Notamacropus eugenii: one gene and its partner. The protein of the gene in region 2 interacts with the protein of the main gene of each other region in a pairwise test. Links are inferred from orthologs where the notes say so. Each region holds a gene or a part of one and is shown on either strand. Other genes may lie near its edges.

Region 1 (7,815 bases), on a different chromosome or scaffold from region 2:
AGAAATAAAGACCAACAGACAGGGCTTCTAACTGTCGGACCGTAAGTAATACATACATCACAGATCAACAGACAGATCCAACCATTACATACATGCATCATTACCAGGGACAGCAAGCACCAACATCTGGGTTTTCAAAGCTGGGGGCTCCCTAATGGCTACCCAGAGCCTCATCTGGCACTCGAACCTTCTCCCAAAGAGTAAACCCCAAAGCAAAACTTCAACCCAGAGTATATATACACTTTTCAGAGCCAGAGGGCACAACCCTCAGGACTCAATGCCTCATTAACAACTAACAAAAGGTGTGAGCCTTCCTACAAAACAAGCCTCCCCTAATCAGGCTTCCCTTAGTGGGCTCCATCTGAGGCTTATTAATGGGAAGGGAAAATCTTTAACTCTTACAGTGGGAGAGACCATGAGCTTAGAGGGATGGTGGCAGGAAATGGACAGTGTTAGGGTGTCTGGGGAACAAAGGGAGGGGGCTTTGGCAAAGTAGCAAAGGGACAGAAGGAAGGGAGAAGGCTGATTTGAGGTTACCTCACAACACTGGTCTGGTCCAATCCCTGTTCACACACCCCCAGCCTTCTCCTCAGGCTCACTCTTGAGTCAGTCCTAGAGGGTGAAATCTAATCAAATCCCCTTGCAGTGAAATATCCCGTCACATTAATTCCATCTAGATTTGTGCTAAGCCGAGTCACAATTTCTTTTTGTGCCTTTTTGTACCAGTTAACTTCTCTGTAAAAATGAGTAGGTTCTGCCTTCCCCCCTCCAAAAAAAAAGGAAAGAAAAGAAAGAATCAAAAGAGAAAAATGAGTAGGTCATTCTCAACCTGTTACAAGTACTTAGTATTTGTGCAATGAAAGGAGATAGGAGACATCAGTGTATAGTGTACAGAGCAATAAGACCCAAACATTTGAAGACTTGCTGCACTACCTTGGGCAAGTTCCTTCCCTCTTTTAGGGCTCATTTTTCCCATCTGTAAAATTATTATCTCAAGAGTGTCTTCTAGGACTGACAGTCTGGAATCCTGAGAGCCCCACAGAATCTTCTCATCTGTAAAATGGGGAATTGGGCTAGATGTCCTCTGAAACCTCTTCTACCTCCAAAGCTCCTAAGAGCATGAGTGGAGAATGCCATCTGCTCTGCTCTCCACGCCTCCTTTCTTCTCTCTCCAGCTTAGTGGCCTGACCCAACACCTATGTTCCCTGAGGCTGGAGATGGAAATGGGATGGAGTTGGCTTGTTTTCCAATTGCTTCACCAAGGACTCTCAGAGGGCAAGAGCCTCTCACGGGCAGGAAGCAATTAAGATGGGGTGGGGAGACGACTGAGGATTGAGAATAGGTGAGCTGGCAGACACCCAGCTGAGAGGCCTCTGACCTGTTGTGGGCAGAGGATTCCAACTCACCTTCCCTTCAGCACCAGGGTGGGAAAAGCCATTACTAACTGCTCTCCTACTTTGATGGATGGTTTCCTGGAGGAGAGATTGCCCTGTCTGCCATCCCTTATGACCTTAGGAAGGGAGGGTGAGAGACCCAGCTGAAACCCTGAGTGATTACAAGAGGGGGTACCCTTCTCTCTTGCCAGACTCTCAAGCTGGGCCTTGAAGGATTGTTGTGAGGAAAGTCATTGTTAAACTTCAAATCACTTTGGAACTGAGAATTCTTTGTATTTATAGAGCAAAGATTGAGATGGGAAGGTACATGCCTAATATCCTCCATATAGTAAATAGCATTAGCTCCAACAAATATACTTGGCCTGTGTGTGGCCAAGTTTCTCTGAGGAGAGAGAGGGGTATGGGAGGGGTGGTTCATCCCTCCTCCAGCAAACTCCCCTCTTCTGGGGGGAGAGAAGGGTCGCCACACCCCTGGACAATCTAGCCATAACCTTTACACCAGGAGAACGTAAGCCTCTTGGCATCAGGAAATTTCATTTTCATCTTTGTATTCATAGTACCTGGCATACACAGTGCCTAGCATGTAGTAGGCATATCGTAAGTGCTTGTTGAATGAAATTTAGAGCAGATAAAGATAGGCCCTGAAAGCTGTCCTCCTACCAGTCCTATCAGGTGAAAGTATTATTCCCCCCAGCAGCGAGGCATTCCTTCCATTCCTTCCCACCTTTTGGTCTGGGAACATTATGGGTCACTACAATTCCTGGAAGGAACTGTCCAATTCCTCACCATCCCTGCAACTTCCCAGGCCAAAACATGACTCTCTGGTCATCAGACTCCTGGAGGTGGTCTTCTCCATTAGCATGTAACCTCCTTGAGTCCAGAGGATACCTTGCTTTTTGTATTTGTAACTCCTAAGGTTTAGCACAATGTCTGACACATAGTAAGAGCTCTGTTAAACCTTTTTTCATTCATTCACTTTACGAAGGAGAAAACTGAGAAAGGAAAAAATAGCTTACTCAAGGTTACACAACTTGTAAATGTCAAATGAACACATATGTATTCAATGCTTACTGTGTGTGGGTCCTGTGCTGGGCTGTTGGTGAAATACAAGGTTCACTGGAAAGATTTATGTGAACTGATGCTGAGTGAAGTGAGCAGAACCAGGAGAACATTGTACACAGTAACAGCAACATTGGGTGGTAATCAACTTTGATAGACTTAGCTCTTCTCAGTAAAACGAGGATCTAAGGCAACTCCAAAAGGCTCATGATAGAAAATGCCATCCACATGCAGAGAAAGAACTATGGAATATGAATGCAGATTGACATATACAATTTTCTCTTTTGCTATTTTTTCTTTCTCATGGTTTTTCCTTTTGGTTCTAATTCTTTGGGTAGTGCAGTAGATAGAGCACCAGTGCAGGAGTCAGGAGGACCTGAGTTCAAATCTCACCTCAGACACTTGACACTCACTAGCTGTATGACCTTGGGCAAGTCACTTAACCCAATTGCCTCATCCTGGGTCATCTCCAGTCATCCTGATGAATATCTGGTCACTGGATTCAGATGGCTCTGGAGGAGAAGTGAGGCTGGTGACCTGCACAGCCCTCCCTCACTCAAAACAAAGTAAAGTTCAAGTCATGTCATCATTTCTCTAATGGCATGGTCCTCTTCAGTAACAAAAGACTAACACACATGCCTTAGTTTCCTCAACTGTTAAATGAGGATAATAATAATATCCACTTCCCAGAGTTGTTGTGAGGGTCAAATGAGATAACATTTGTAAAGCTCTTAGCCCAATGCCTGGCATACAGTAGGTGCTTAATAAATGCTTGTTTCCATCCTTCCTTGGTGAGCTTCAGTGTCCTCATCTGTCAAATGAAGGGGGTGAATTAAATGCTTTTTAAGGTCCTTTCCACTCTAAATCCTCTAATCCTGGGGCAGATTTCACGTGAGGTCTCCATAGACCTTGCAAGTGGCTGGACCCAGAAGGGAGGGAAGTTTGGAGGTTCCTGGCTCAGAAGAAGTCAGCAGTTCATTCTCTTTTATCAGTTACAAGGGGTCGCGCCTGGCTGAGAAGGTGGTCCAGCAGGTTGGCTTTCAGAGGCCAGAGATGTCAAGTGATCTGAAAAGTCCCATACCAGAAATAAGGACGTTGAAGCCCAGCATGGAAAGGACTTGGGAGTTACAGAGGGAGCTAGTAACAGAGCCAGGCCTAGAACGTGGGTTTATGGCTGTGCCCTCCACACCAGGCTTTAAAAAGCTACAGTCCTTTAGTGCTACTCTCCTGGGCTCAGATCCCAGGGTTCAGCTCTGTCCAGACACCCCTCTGACTGGGTCCACCCCCACCCCCAGCTGCTTCTGCCAGTTCCCCGGGACACAGGCCAGAGGCCCTTGTGTTGCCCGGCAAGGTGGGGAGAGGGCGACAGCTAAAATATATTCCTCAGCTGGCTCTCTCCTTTCCCTCTTCTTTGCAAAATCAGTTTTCCCCTTCTGAGGATTTCCCCCACCTCCCTGGAGGCTCTAGATTTAGGGTTCTGAGCCTCCAATTCCCTCTCCTTCTGCCCCTCCCTCTGCCTCCCCCTCCCCTCAGCTGTCCTCTCAGGCTGGGAAGGACGCATGTCCTTGGAAGGATAGGGTGAGAGTGTGGAAGGGGGGTCCTTCAGCTGCCCAGATTAGAACAGCTCCAGGTTCCCGAGGGGGAGAGAGGGGCAGGAGGTTAGCCTTGCAGCTTTACAGCCATATAGATTGTGTGTGCCTACAAATGTATGGAGATTATATACATGTACATGTATATAGTACATGTGTGTATCTTGCATTGCACACATATTCTTGAAAGTGCATGTACTAACACGATACATAGATGTGTCCTGTGTCTCTATGTGTGCATATGGGCACATGTTTATGTGTATATCCCTGCAATCCATGTGTGTTTCTGCATTATATATGCCCTTACCTATCTCCTACTGCAGGATGAGAGGAGGCTGGAGCCCACCAAGGAGGAGACAACCCCCCAGCCCACCCCCATCCCCGCCCCCCACCCCCTGTTGGGTGCGCAAGCGCCCGGGTCCCGCCCCCCACAAATAAAGCAGCTCCTCCCTCTCTCCCTCCCTCCTGTCACCACAGGCTGCTTTGCTACTGAACAACCTTCTTAGCCATTCCCCGGGACAGAGCAGCTGGCTTTGGGTCTGGACCAGGGTTTGTCCACCTTCCTCTTCAGCTCCCTCTCCGCTCCTTCTCCCCTTCTTTTCCTCCCCTTCCTTTCTTCCTGCCTTCTCTCCTCATCCTCCTCTCTTCCCCTTCTCCCCCCTCCCTCTCCTCTTCTGCTATTCTCACTCCTTCTTCCTCTAGAGTCCTCTGCTCCCTCAGCATGGATTCTGGGCCTCGGGGGCCCTTGGGGACCCCAGAGTCTGGAGGGAAACCACCAAACTGGCAGGAAGCCAAGACTTTCTATGACAGCCTGGCACCCAAAAAGAAGCCCAAATCGGTAAGATGTAGCCCTGTGTGAGCCTGGGAGAGGGGGACCCCAAACCCTGATGAGGGAGGGACAGAGGGACTGGGAGATGGAAGGATCCTTGTTCTCCAGCCAGAAAAACTGCAAGAGTGAAGTCCCCGCTTCTCTCCCTCCCCTTCCTTCCCCTCCCCTCTCCTCTTCCTCCTCCTCCTCCTCCTCCTCCTCTTCTTCCCTCCCAGTTTCTGGCAGGGACTGGGTGTTTATTTCAGTTCTGGCCTGGGCTTTGTGCCTCTCCTCTTCCTCATCAAAATGCCCTCCCCCTCCCCTTCCTATCAGCCCCAGCCCCTGGTCACAACCTGCCTCTTGCTGTGTTGGCTGTCAAAGCACATGTCTCTTCAAATGAATTAAATCAAAATGAATGGATTGGAGGGTGGCTTCCCTGTCCAGACTCATGGCTCTGGGCTCTCTGGAGTGTAGGGCCTGAGGGTCCCCTGTTCAGAATCACTGGGGCTCTAACCACTGAGATTCTCATTCCAGACTGCCTACCCCAGTAGTCTCTAGAGCCGGATGGGCACTGACATTTAAGCGGGGGGACTAGGGATGAAGGGAGGGCCTCAGACTGTTGGCCCCAAGTGACAGACAGATTTATTCTTTGATTTAGAGCTGCAGGGACCTTACGCATAATTAGCCCAACTACCTCATTCTACAAATGATGAAATGGAGTTGAATTGATAGGTTCAGAGAGTAAATGGCAGATCCAGTATTGGAATCCAGGCTACCCAAGTCAAGCCAGCTTCCCGAATGGGAGGAGAGACTGAGTAGCCCTGTCTGCAGGCTCCTTCCTTACTGAATACAAAGGTGCCCATATCTCTTCCATTCTCAAAAAACTGAGATTTCTAGCCCCAGTATCATCCTCTGTCTCCTCTGATCTTGTGGTCAGACTCCTTGAAAGGGCCTCTAGGATAGGTCCTCCACTTTCTTGACTCTCATTCTTTTCTTAACCCTTTACAATCCAGCTTCTGACCTCATCATTCAACTAAAGCTGCTCTCTCCAAAGCCACCAGTGATCTCTTAATTGCTAAATGCAGTGGCCTTTTCTCAATCACCATTCTCCTTGACCTCTTTGAAGCCTTTGTTACTGTTGATCACTCTCTCCTCTTTGACACTCTTTTCACCAGGTTTTCAGGATACCACATTCTCCTGGTTTTCCTCTTACCTATCTGACCTCTCCCTCTCTGTCTCCTCTGCTGTATTTTCATCCAAGTTACACTGCGTAATTAAGGGTGTCTTCCTGGGCTCAATCCTAGACTCTTTCCTCTTCTCCCTCCAATCTACTTCACTTGGAGATCTCATTAGTTCCCATGGATTTAATGACCTATGATCTATGATCTATGCTGATGGTCCTCAAATCTATCCATTCTGCCTTAACCTCTCTGATGGTCTCCAGTCTCACATCTCCATCTGTCTTTCGGACGTCTCAAATTCAACATGTTCAAAACTGAACTCATTAGCTTTCCTCCTAAATCCTACCCTCCCCGCCCACTACCTTCCCTATTAATGTAGAGGGCGACACCATCCTCCCAGTCCCTCAGGCTCACTACTTTGGAGTCATCCTGGATTCCTCCCCATCTCTCACTTACCACCACCACCCCCATTTCCAAGCTGTTGACAAGGCTTATCAATTTCTTCTTTTCAACTTCTCTCCAATACACTTCCCTTCTCTTCTGAACTGCCTAGTGCTGACTCTCATCACCATATGATTAGACTATTACAGGTGGATCTGCCTGCCTTAAGTCTTTCCCCACTCTCTTTTCAGCTGCCAAAGTGATTTTCCTAAAGTGCAGGTCTGACCATGCCACCCTTGTCCTCAATAAACTTCAGTGACTCCCCATCGTCTCCAGAATCAAATATAAAATCCTCTGTTTGCTATTCAAAGCCCTTCATAACCTAGCCCACTCCCACCCATCCTTCTAGTTTTCTGATACCTTATTCCTGACACACTTTGATCCAGTGACGCTGACCTAACTTTGCTTTCAACAAGACGCTCCAGCTCACAGCTCTGGGCATTTTTTTCTGGCTGTCCCCCATTCCACCCCTGTACTGGCTTCCCTGGCTTCCTTCAAGTCCTAATTAAAATCTCATCTTCTACTGGAAGCCTTTTCCAACTCCTCCTAATTCTAGTGCCTTCTACCATTTAATTATTTCCTATTTATCCTGTATAGAGCTTATTTGAACATATTCTGTTTGCTCACTATCTCCCTTGTTGGATTGTGAGGTTCTTGAGGGCAGGGATCATCTCTGGCCTCTTTTTTGCATCCCCAGCACTTAGCACAGTGGCTGAGCACTTAATAAATCTTTATTGACTAACTAATTAATTGATTGACCCTCCGAATGTGGTCCAAATTGAAGACAACTCACTGAATAGCAGTCAAATGCTGAGTAGGAACAGATAAGGAATTAAAGACTGTCCAGAGGGCTGTCCAGCATTCAGGGACTTGGGGGAGCCCAGAATATGTTCCCCTGCCTCCTTTGCTCTCCTCTGTGGAGGCAGCTCTCAGGGTAGATACACAGACCCCACCCCTAACTGCCCTAACCTGACCCTGGAACTCCTTCTGGGCCAGTCCTGCTCAGCTGGGACTCCAGGAGGACCCATGGCTAGGGTTGCCTATCGACTTCCCAAGACCTTGACCTTCTGGGCTCCTAGCCAGTACTGTCCCCCAGGACTCCCTGACTTGGGAACTTCATACTACACTAGGTCTCCCTTTCCCTCTAAAGCACCCTCTCCAGTTCCTGATCCCCCTGCTTCCTGCCCCTCGCCTGATCATTGAGAAGATATACAACATTGATGAGGGCTGGAGAGATAGGAGTACAGGAACTCCAAGACTGGCGCTCCCTGCATGGGCCATCTGGAAAAGAATTCATGGACTCAAGTGTTGTTGAGGTTAAGGTGGTAAAGATTTATTACGCT
Region 2 (7,284 bases):
GTCATGGATAGATTAGAAGGAAAAGAGAGTGGAGGCAGAAAGATGTCTTAGAAGGCAGTAGTGTAAGTGGGTGATAATAAGAAGCTGGATTAGATTGATAGTGGTGAAAATAAAAAGCTGTGGTTAGATATGGGAGATATTGTAGAAGTAGAATCACTGGGATTTTGCGACTAATTGGATATGAAAGGTGAGAGAGAGGGAATAATCAAAGATACTACCAAGGTTTTGAATACAGGACAATAGGTGAATAGTGGTGCTACTGACAGAACTGGTGAAACCCAAAGAAAAAGCAAGTTTTGATGAATAGATAAACTCAGCTTTGGAGGAGGTGAGTTTGAAGTACTAGGGAGGCATTCAGATGAGGAATATCCTGCCGGAATGGGGAAAAGCGAATCTGAGACCTTGAGAGAGGTCAAAGCTGGAGGCCTTATGGTTTCAGAGACTATCTGTATTAAGGTGATAATTGAAATCATGGGAGCTAATGACATTTTTAAGGGACAAAGTAAAGAACAAAGGACTGATAAAATCTTTTGAGATCCAAGAGAGGCTAAGGAGTCAGCAAAGGAGGAGAAAAAGAAGATATGGTTGGAGGGGTAATGCCAAATGAAAGAGTGAGGTCAAAGAACATGAGAACTGGGGTAAAGATGATTTGATGTCACTGGTGTGCTTAAAATAGTTTTAGTAGAGAAGGAATAGAAGCCTTGTTGACAGGGATTGAGAAGAGAGTGGGTAATAAAGAAGTGCAATTGGAAGAATTGAGTTCTTCAAGACTACTTCAAGAAATTCCTACTTGCTTGGGGGAGTAGGGTCAAGGAAAGGGCTTCTTTTGGGAATGAGGAGACCTAGATATATTTGTATCTACATAGGAAGAAGTCAGTGAAGCATGAGAGATAACAGACTCAAACAGAGAATGGATGATTTTTTTATACCCAATATTCCTTTCCTTAAATTACCATGAATGCTAAGAGATTTTCACTTTTTGCCAAAGTTTTCTAGGTTTCTATTTCACTATTCAGATTTTCCTTGTTGATTACAATTAGTGGCAAAATAGCAGTTTTCTTCACTGTATTCTCAGTACTACACTAACCCTCTGCTTGGTTTCCCCATATGCTCTTCCATTTCAATGCCTAGTCATCACTCCAGATTAGGCATTTTAACATTTACCCTTCAAGAATATCAATACCTTACTATAATATTGAGTGGGATAGGTTTAGTGAAGACTTCTCAGATTGTAATTCTTCTCCCAGGGGTGAGGTAAGACCTAGAGGCTCAAGGTTACAATATTTTTAGAATAGAATAGTTCCATATAAGGATATAAAACTGTGTAGTATATTAGGGTCTCAATGATTGGATAAAACTTACATAATTCCTCGATGTCTTCATTTCAAAAGGGATTGGTTAGATTTTGTGTCTAGAATGTAAGATCATATTCTCAGCTAATGAGGATAATGGTCAGTGGGGGAGGAGGGACTTGCGTTAGGGTCTATATAAATCACTGCCTTTTCTTTGTCTTTGTCTTTCCTACTCCAGATGAACTGGTGTAGGATTGTCCCGATTCTCGAGAATCTAGTAAATAAACTTTCTGTCATCACTTTGAGAGGCCTCTGAGTAACTGATTTAAGTAGGGACCTGAGCCATCCCACACAATATCAAGTCAAACTTCTCATTTCCTAGAATTCAAGTTTTTCCTTAGAGGCTCTAATTCTTATCAATCTGACTTAATCTCCCACTTTTTTTGGAGGGATCCAAAACTGTAATTTCACATCTTTGATAATTCTTGGCAACTAGAACTCACTGATGCAGATTGGAATAATTTTGTAACTTATAGGCTAAAGTGTGTGGACACAGGCCTTCCAAGGTAAAGTGACTCTCCCATCCATGGTCACATTGCTGGTATATGTCAGAGACAGATCTTAGACCCAGGTCTTTCTGACTCCTCTATTAAATCTCTATCCAGTAAGTCACATTGTCTCTCATTTCCCTTGGTTCCCACTTTCTAGTTTTCATAGCACTTTCTTTACAACAGCCAGATAAGGTGGGTAGTACAGTTATTATTATCCACATTGTTTTTTTTTTTTTTTAGAAAAGGGTAGCTTGTAAGTACCAGCACTTTGATCATATTGACTTTTTCCCAGTTTTTTTGTCCCTTTAGCAATCTGAATGGAGTGTGGAACTATCTTTTTTCTTAAAGTTAGCAGCCTAAAGACTAGTATCTCTTTTCTCATAAGTTCTCATCAATGCTTTCCGTGATATAGGTAAGGAGTATTGAATAATTAATCTCCACCAACGAAGAAAGACTTACACTAATGACTTTGAGCCACGTTACTTTATCAAAACATTTTGTTTTAAGAAAATTTCAACAAACTCCTCATATAATTTAAGAAAACCCCCCAAACCAGTCCCCCCAAATATTAAGAAAAATAATACCAAAAAGTACAAGATTGGACAAGCAGCCATGCACTTGTTTGCCATTTTAAAAAAGAAAGGGGAGATGCATGCTGCTACTGACAGAACTGGTAAAACCCAAAGAAAGAGCAAGTTTTGATGAATAGACAAGGAGGAGGTGAGTTTGAAGTGCTAGGGAGGCATTCAGGTGAGGAATATCCTATAGGCATTTGGAAAAGTGAGTCTGTGATCTTGAAAGAGGTCATAGTTAGAGGTATTATGGTTTCAGGAGCCATCTGAATCAAGTTGATAAATGAAATCATGGGAGTTAATAACATTACCAAGGGAGAGAGTAAGGGTCAGTTTTCTAGACAGGAATCTCAGGGTTCAAGCTCTCTCTATGACACATACTAGCTATGTGACCATCTGTCCATTTCAGTGACCATCAGTAAGTCACTTATACTCAGCGAAACAGGAAATTTTCTAAGATTATAAACATACATTTTTGTAGAGGAGTGGCCAGTCTGAATATGTGGAAGGAGTTTCCACACTAACAGTTTAGCACATTGATGAAATCATTGGTTTAGATAGAAAAAAGAAAGAAAAGTAGCTTATGTACTGACTTAGCACCTCCCCCCCCCCAAAAGATGGGAGGGCCCCCAGCATCTGTGTGCTTCAATTTTGATATGGCAATAATACCAATATTTACTTTCATATTTATCTGAGATTTGTTGCTCTTTAATGTCTTTGTTTATTTCATTGAAGTTAGAATGTTTATTTTCCTTTGATTTTGCTTTATTTTGTATAGATTCAGTTTGAATATTTCACCATTTCTTCAAACTGGCAAATTCCTTATGGCTACGGAATCCACATACATCCACATGCCACAATTTATTAAATCACAAAGCTTGTGTCCAGCTTTTTAGCTATTACAAATAGTTCTGGTACGAATATTTTTGCAGATTGGTCTTTTCCTACCAATTACTACCCCAGGTTAAAAGCCTAATAGTGGGTTTGTTGGATTAAAGAGTACAAAATTTTTTGTTACTTTTATTGTATAATTCTATATTTCTTTCCAAAATTCTTAGTAAATTCATAGCTCCATTAGCAGTGAATTTTTAGATTGTCAATTTTCCAAAGTCTTGCCAGCAACTGATTTAAAAAAAAATTACTATTTATGTGAATTTGATGTCTTTTAAAGTGACACTTAAGAATTAAGCTAATTTGTATTTTTATTATTCATTCAAATTACTTGTGTTGAAGTGGACATTATTTCCCCTCCCCCCCTAGAGCCCCTGGGTTGAGAAATGTCTGTTGAGTTTCTAGGCAGGGTTGGGCCTAGTAGCCACTTACTATTAGTGGCTACACTTTCTGTTGTACCCCTTTGCCTAGCAGCTGCCTGGGCCCCCCTCTCTGTTGTACCCCTTTGCCTAGCAGCTGCCTGGGCCCCCCTCTCTGTTGTACCCCTTTGCCTAGCAGCTGCCTGGGCCCCCATCTCTGTTGTACCCCTTTGCCTAGCAGCTGCTTGGGCCCCCCTCTCTGTTGTGCCCCCTTGCCTAGCAGTACCTAGGAACCCCTGTCAAAACTGTTCTGTGAAAAATGTGAGCTACTGGAACCATAAGGCTGTACCGGGAGGTGCTAAGATGCTTAAAAGGCACACACACCTTTGTTCAGGGCTGCCACCTTTGTGGACAGCCACTGGCTAAGACACTCCCAAATTCTCAATTAACTCTTGCCTGTGCTTGTCTCGGTCTGTCCATTTCAGTGTGAACTTATGTTTCTTTTGAAAAATGCCTATTCAGTTGCATATACTCTCAGACTTGATTGATGTGCTGGTGAGTTTTTCTAAATTGCTTTTTTTCCCTAAGTTCTCTCTTTTTATTCATCTTTTAAAAAACTGTTATAGGGAATGACTCAAGGGAGAGGAGGAAAGATAGCAGGAATATATTTGGTAATGAAGGTGATATAAAAATTAAAGATACCAATAAAGTAAAATAAAAGGAAAAGGCCTGTTCACAGCCCTTGACCACTTATCTATCAGGAGGAATTTCTCCTAACCTTATAAATCTATGCCAGTCCCTATAGATTTTACATGTCAGACTTTCAGCAGAAACGTTTAATTGCAAAAATTTTCCCCCTACTCTGTAGTTCAATCTGTTTATGTGCATGGTTATAACTGGTAAGTGTGCTTTTCCCTCCTCCACATCCTGTTGCTTGTTAAGTCTGCTTTTTCAGTCAGATCACTAGTATCATTCTCTTAGAATGATCATAGACTCTCCATACCCTCACATCTCTTCCTATAACCTCAAGATTCTGGGATTCTACTTTTATTGATAGAATCTTTTCAAAACTCCTCATGCCCTTTCTCTAGTTCAGATAGAAAGGTGTTTTAAAATGTTTCCCTCTATTCTCATTCTTCTGTTTCTCTGTTGTTTTGTTCTTTATCCGTGGCCCCCATATTCAAGGTACAACATTTTTCCTCTTTCCTCATTTTATTACTTCTTTTTGATTCCTTAAGCATTTTAAAAGTGTCTACGTTGTCCAAGGAACTAAGTGTTGGGGATATAAAGACAAAACAGTGCCAAAGGGAGACTAGACTAAAGATGAAACATACCATATGGTTTGAAGGAAGTGAAGATGTTTAGTCTATGGAAGAAGGTAAAGCCAGGGGAAAAGGATAATTGTCCTTTCAACTCTGTAAGTTTAGAAGTGAAGAGGCCTGGCTGGACTACATTTCATTTGATAAGGACTTCACAAGCACATTCAGTATGATCTGACTCTCTAACCTGGCAGCCAGAATCTCAGGTTGCATTGACAGAGGAAGTCTCCAGGTCAAAGAAGTGAGTAGTCCCACTGAACTCTGCCCTAGGCTTAGATGTATGGAGTATAGGTTTAGTTTGGGGTGTTCCATTTTGGGTGAAGACACTGACAAGCAGAAACATGTGCAAAAGAGGAAAACGAGAATGATGATAGAATTTGTGATGGGGGCTGGAACTGCACCTGTAATATCATTGGAGTAGGGAAATTGTCAGGTGAGGAAATTCCCTCTACCAATGCAAGTTGCTTGTCGTTGGATTTCCCAGTAAGGAGGGTCATAATTGTGTCAGAGCTGATGCTCCTTCCACTATTGTTAGAATTACTAATTAATAATAGAAATTATTAGAATGTAATCTTGTAAGTAGGGATTGTTTCATTCATTGTGATGGCATTTTAAGTTAGTCAATTAGCACTTTGTGGTAGGCATGGTGCTAAAGGATAGGGATGTAAAGAAAGTCAAAAGACAATCCCTGATCTCAAGGAACTCATGATCTAGAGAGAGACGACATGCAAAGAGGGGCAACTGGTGGTGCAGGAAACAGAGCAGTCAGGAAGGCCTCAGACATTTATTGGTTGTGTGACTTTGGGCAAATCACTTAACCCTGTTTGCCTCAGTTTCCTCCTCTGTAAAGTGGCAGACCACTCCAATATCTTTGTCAAGAAAACTCCGAATGGGGGTCAAGAAAAGTCAGACATGACTGAAATGAGTGACACATGCAAACAACTATGTACAAGGCATATTCAGGATAAAGGTAGGGTAGTCCCAGAGGGAAAGCTCCACAGGGAGGCCTGGGAAAGGCCTTCTGCAGCAGGAGTGATTTTTAGCTGAAACTTGAAGGAAACCCAGGGAGGCCAGGAAGGGATTGGGGGGATGAGGTGCAAACGCAAGAAAAGCCCTATGTAGAGGAGCATAAGCCTAGAGCTCTATAGGCCACAAAGCCAGGGACTATTTTTCTAAGAAACAAATCCCTTCCTCAGCAGAGTCAAAAGTTCAGTAAAAAAAAAAGTCCAGTCAAGACATCTCTGCCCCGCCCCTCTAACTCCGCCCCTAACGAGACCCCGCCCCTTCCTCACCGTTCCCGCCCCCAAGCAACAACCTGCCCCCCCGCTCAGGCCTTCCAAGCCCCGCCCCCCACGCTTCCGCTAAGACCTCCTCAGACCCGCCCCTCGGGCCCCGCCCCCTCGGCTCCGCGGCCCCGCCCCTCCGCGGCCTCCGCCTCAGCGTCCGCCTCTTATTAGGCTGTCCCCTTTCCCAGGCTTTCGCACCGCGCTTCCTCGGCCTGTTGAAGGAGGGCGAAGGGACAGCCGGGCGTATTCGGCCCGGGCTTGCCCGCCCGCCCGCCCGCCATGGAAGGAGAGGGATCCGTTTCCCGAGGCTACCAGCCAGCCAGCCCGCCCCGGGACGCCTGCACCTACAGCAGCTGCTACTGGTAAGGGGCCCGAGCCCCGCCCCCGCCCCCGCCCCGGACCGGCCTAGGTCTGTCGTAGGCGCCTTCCCTGGGCCCGGCCCTGCGCCGCCCTGGCCCCGCCCCTGGCCCCGGGCACCCCCGAGCTTCTCCGCGCTCGGCCCGGGCGTGGCTTCGGGTTCTGCGGAGAGGCTTCTAGGCCCCGGAGCCGAAGCTCATCCAGGCCAGCCCCCGCTCCCTACCACCCTTTCGTCTTACAGATGGGGAAACTGAGGCTGGGAGCGCTCGCCTTCCCTTCATTCAGTAACGGGAGGGGGACTCGGATCCCAGCGGCCGAGGTGGCTGCTAACCAGGACGGAGTCAGGATTTGAATCCAGGGCTAACGGCTCCAGAGCTCTGGTGGTTCTCCCTGCTGGCGACGACAGTAACTCTTTCCGGGTAGAGAGATGGAGCTGGGAGGGACGGGCTGTTTCATGGCAGGGCCTTATCGTAAATATAACTTGCGGGCGGCGAGGCGCCGAGAATACTTAGAATAAATGATACCTTTGTAATCAGGTGAGTATGGGAAATGAGGGCCACCCTAGGAGCTGATCCTGGTCATTAAGCACTCATTAGACTAATGAGGCGGTAAGTGGAGCCCTAGAATTGCATTCTGGAAGACAGGGATTTCGGTCCA

Evidence for each region.
Region 1: the proteins of NTAQ1 (region 2) and NT5C1A interact in binary tests that used the Homo sapiens proteins (3 or more experiments, as listed by UniProt). The two-hybrid records come from large-scale screens. The link is inferred for Notamacropus eugenii from reciprocal best matches to the Homo sapiens genes NTAQ1 and NT5C1A.

Annotation. Positions count from the first base shown.
Region 1 is NC_092876.1:79,437,183-79,444,997, forward strand, and holds the start of NT5C1A (cytosolic 5'-nucleotidase 1A), read left to right. Parts: upstream 1-4,519; 5' UTR 4,520-4,763; coding exon 4,764-4,880; intron 4,881-7,815.
Region 2 is NC_092875.1:120,994,119-121,001,402, reverse strand, and holds the start of NTAQ1 (protein N-terminal glutamine amidohydrolase), read left to right. Parts: upstream 1-4,051; 5' UTR 4,052-4,220; intron 4,221-5,092; 5' UTR 5,093-5,225; intron 5,226-6,383; exon of another isoform or gene 6,384-6,458; 5' UTR 6,459-6,549; coding exon 6,550-6,632; intron 6,633-6,732; exon of another isoform or gene 6,733-7,163; intron 7,164-7,284. UniProt on the Homo sapiens protein: Mediates the side-chain deamidation of N-terminal glutamine residues to glutamate, an important step in N-end rule pathway of protein degradation.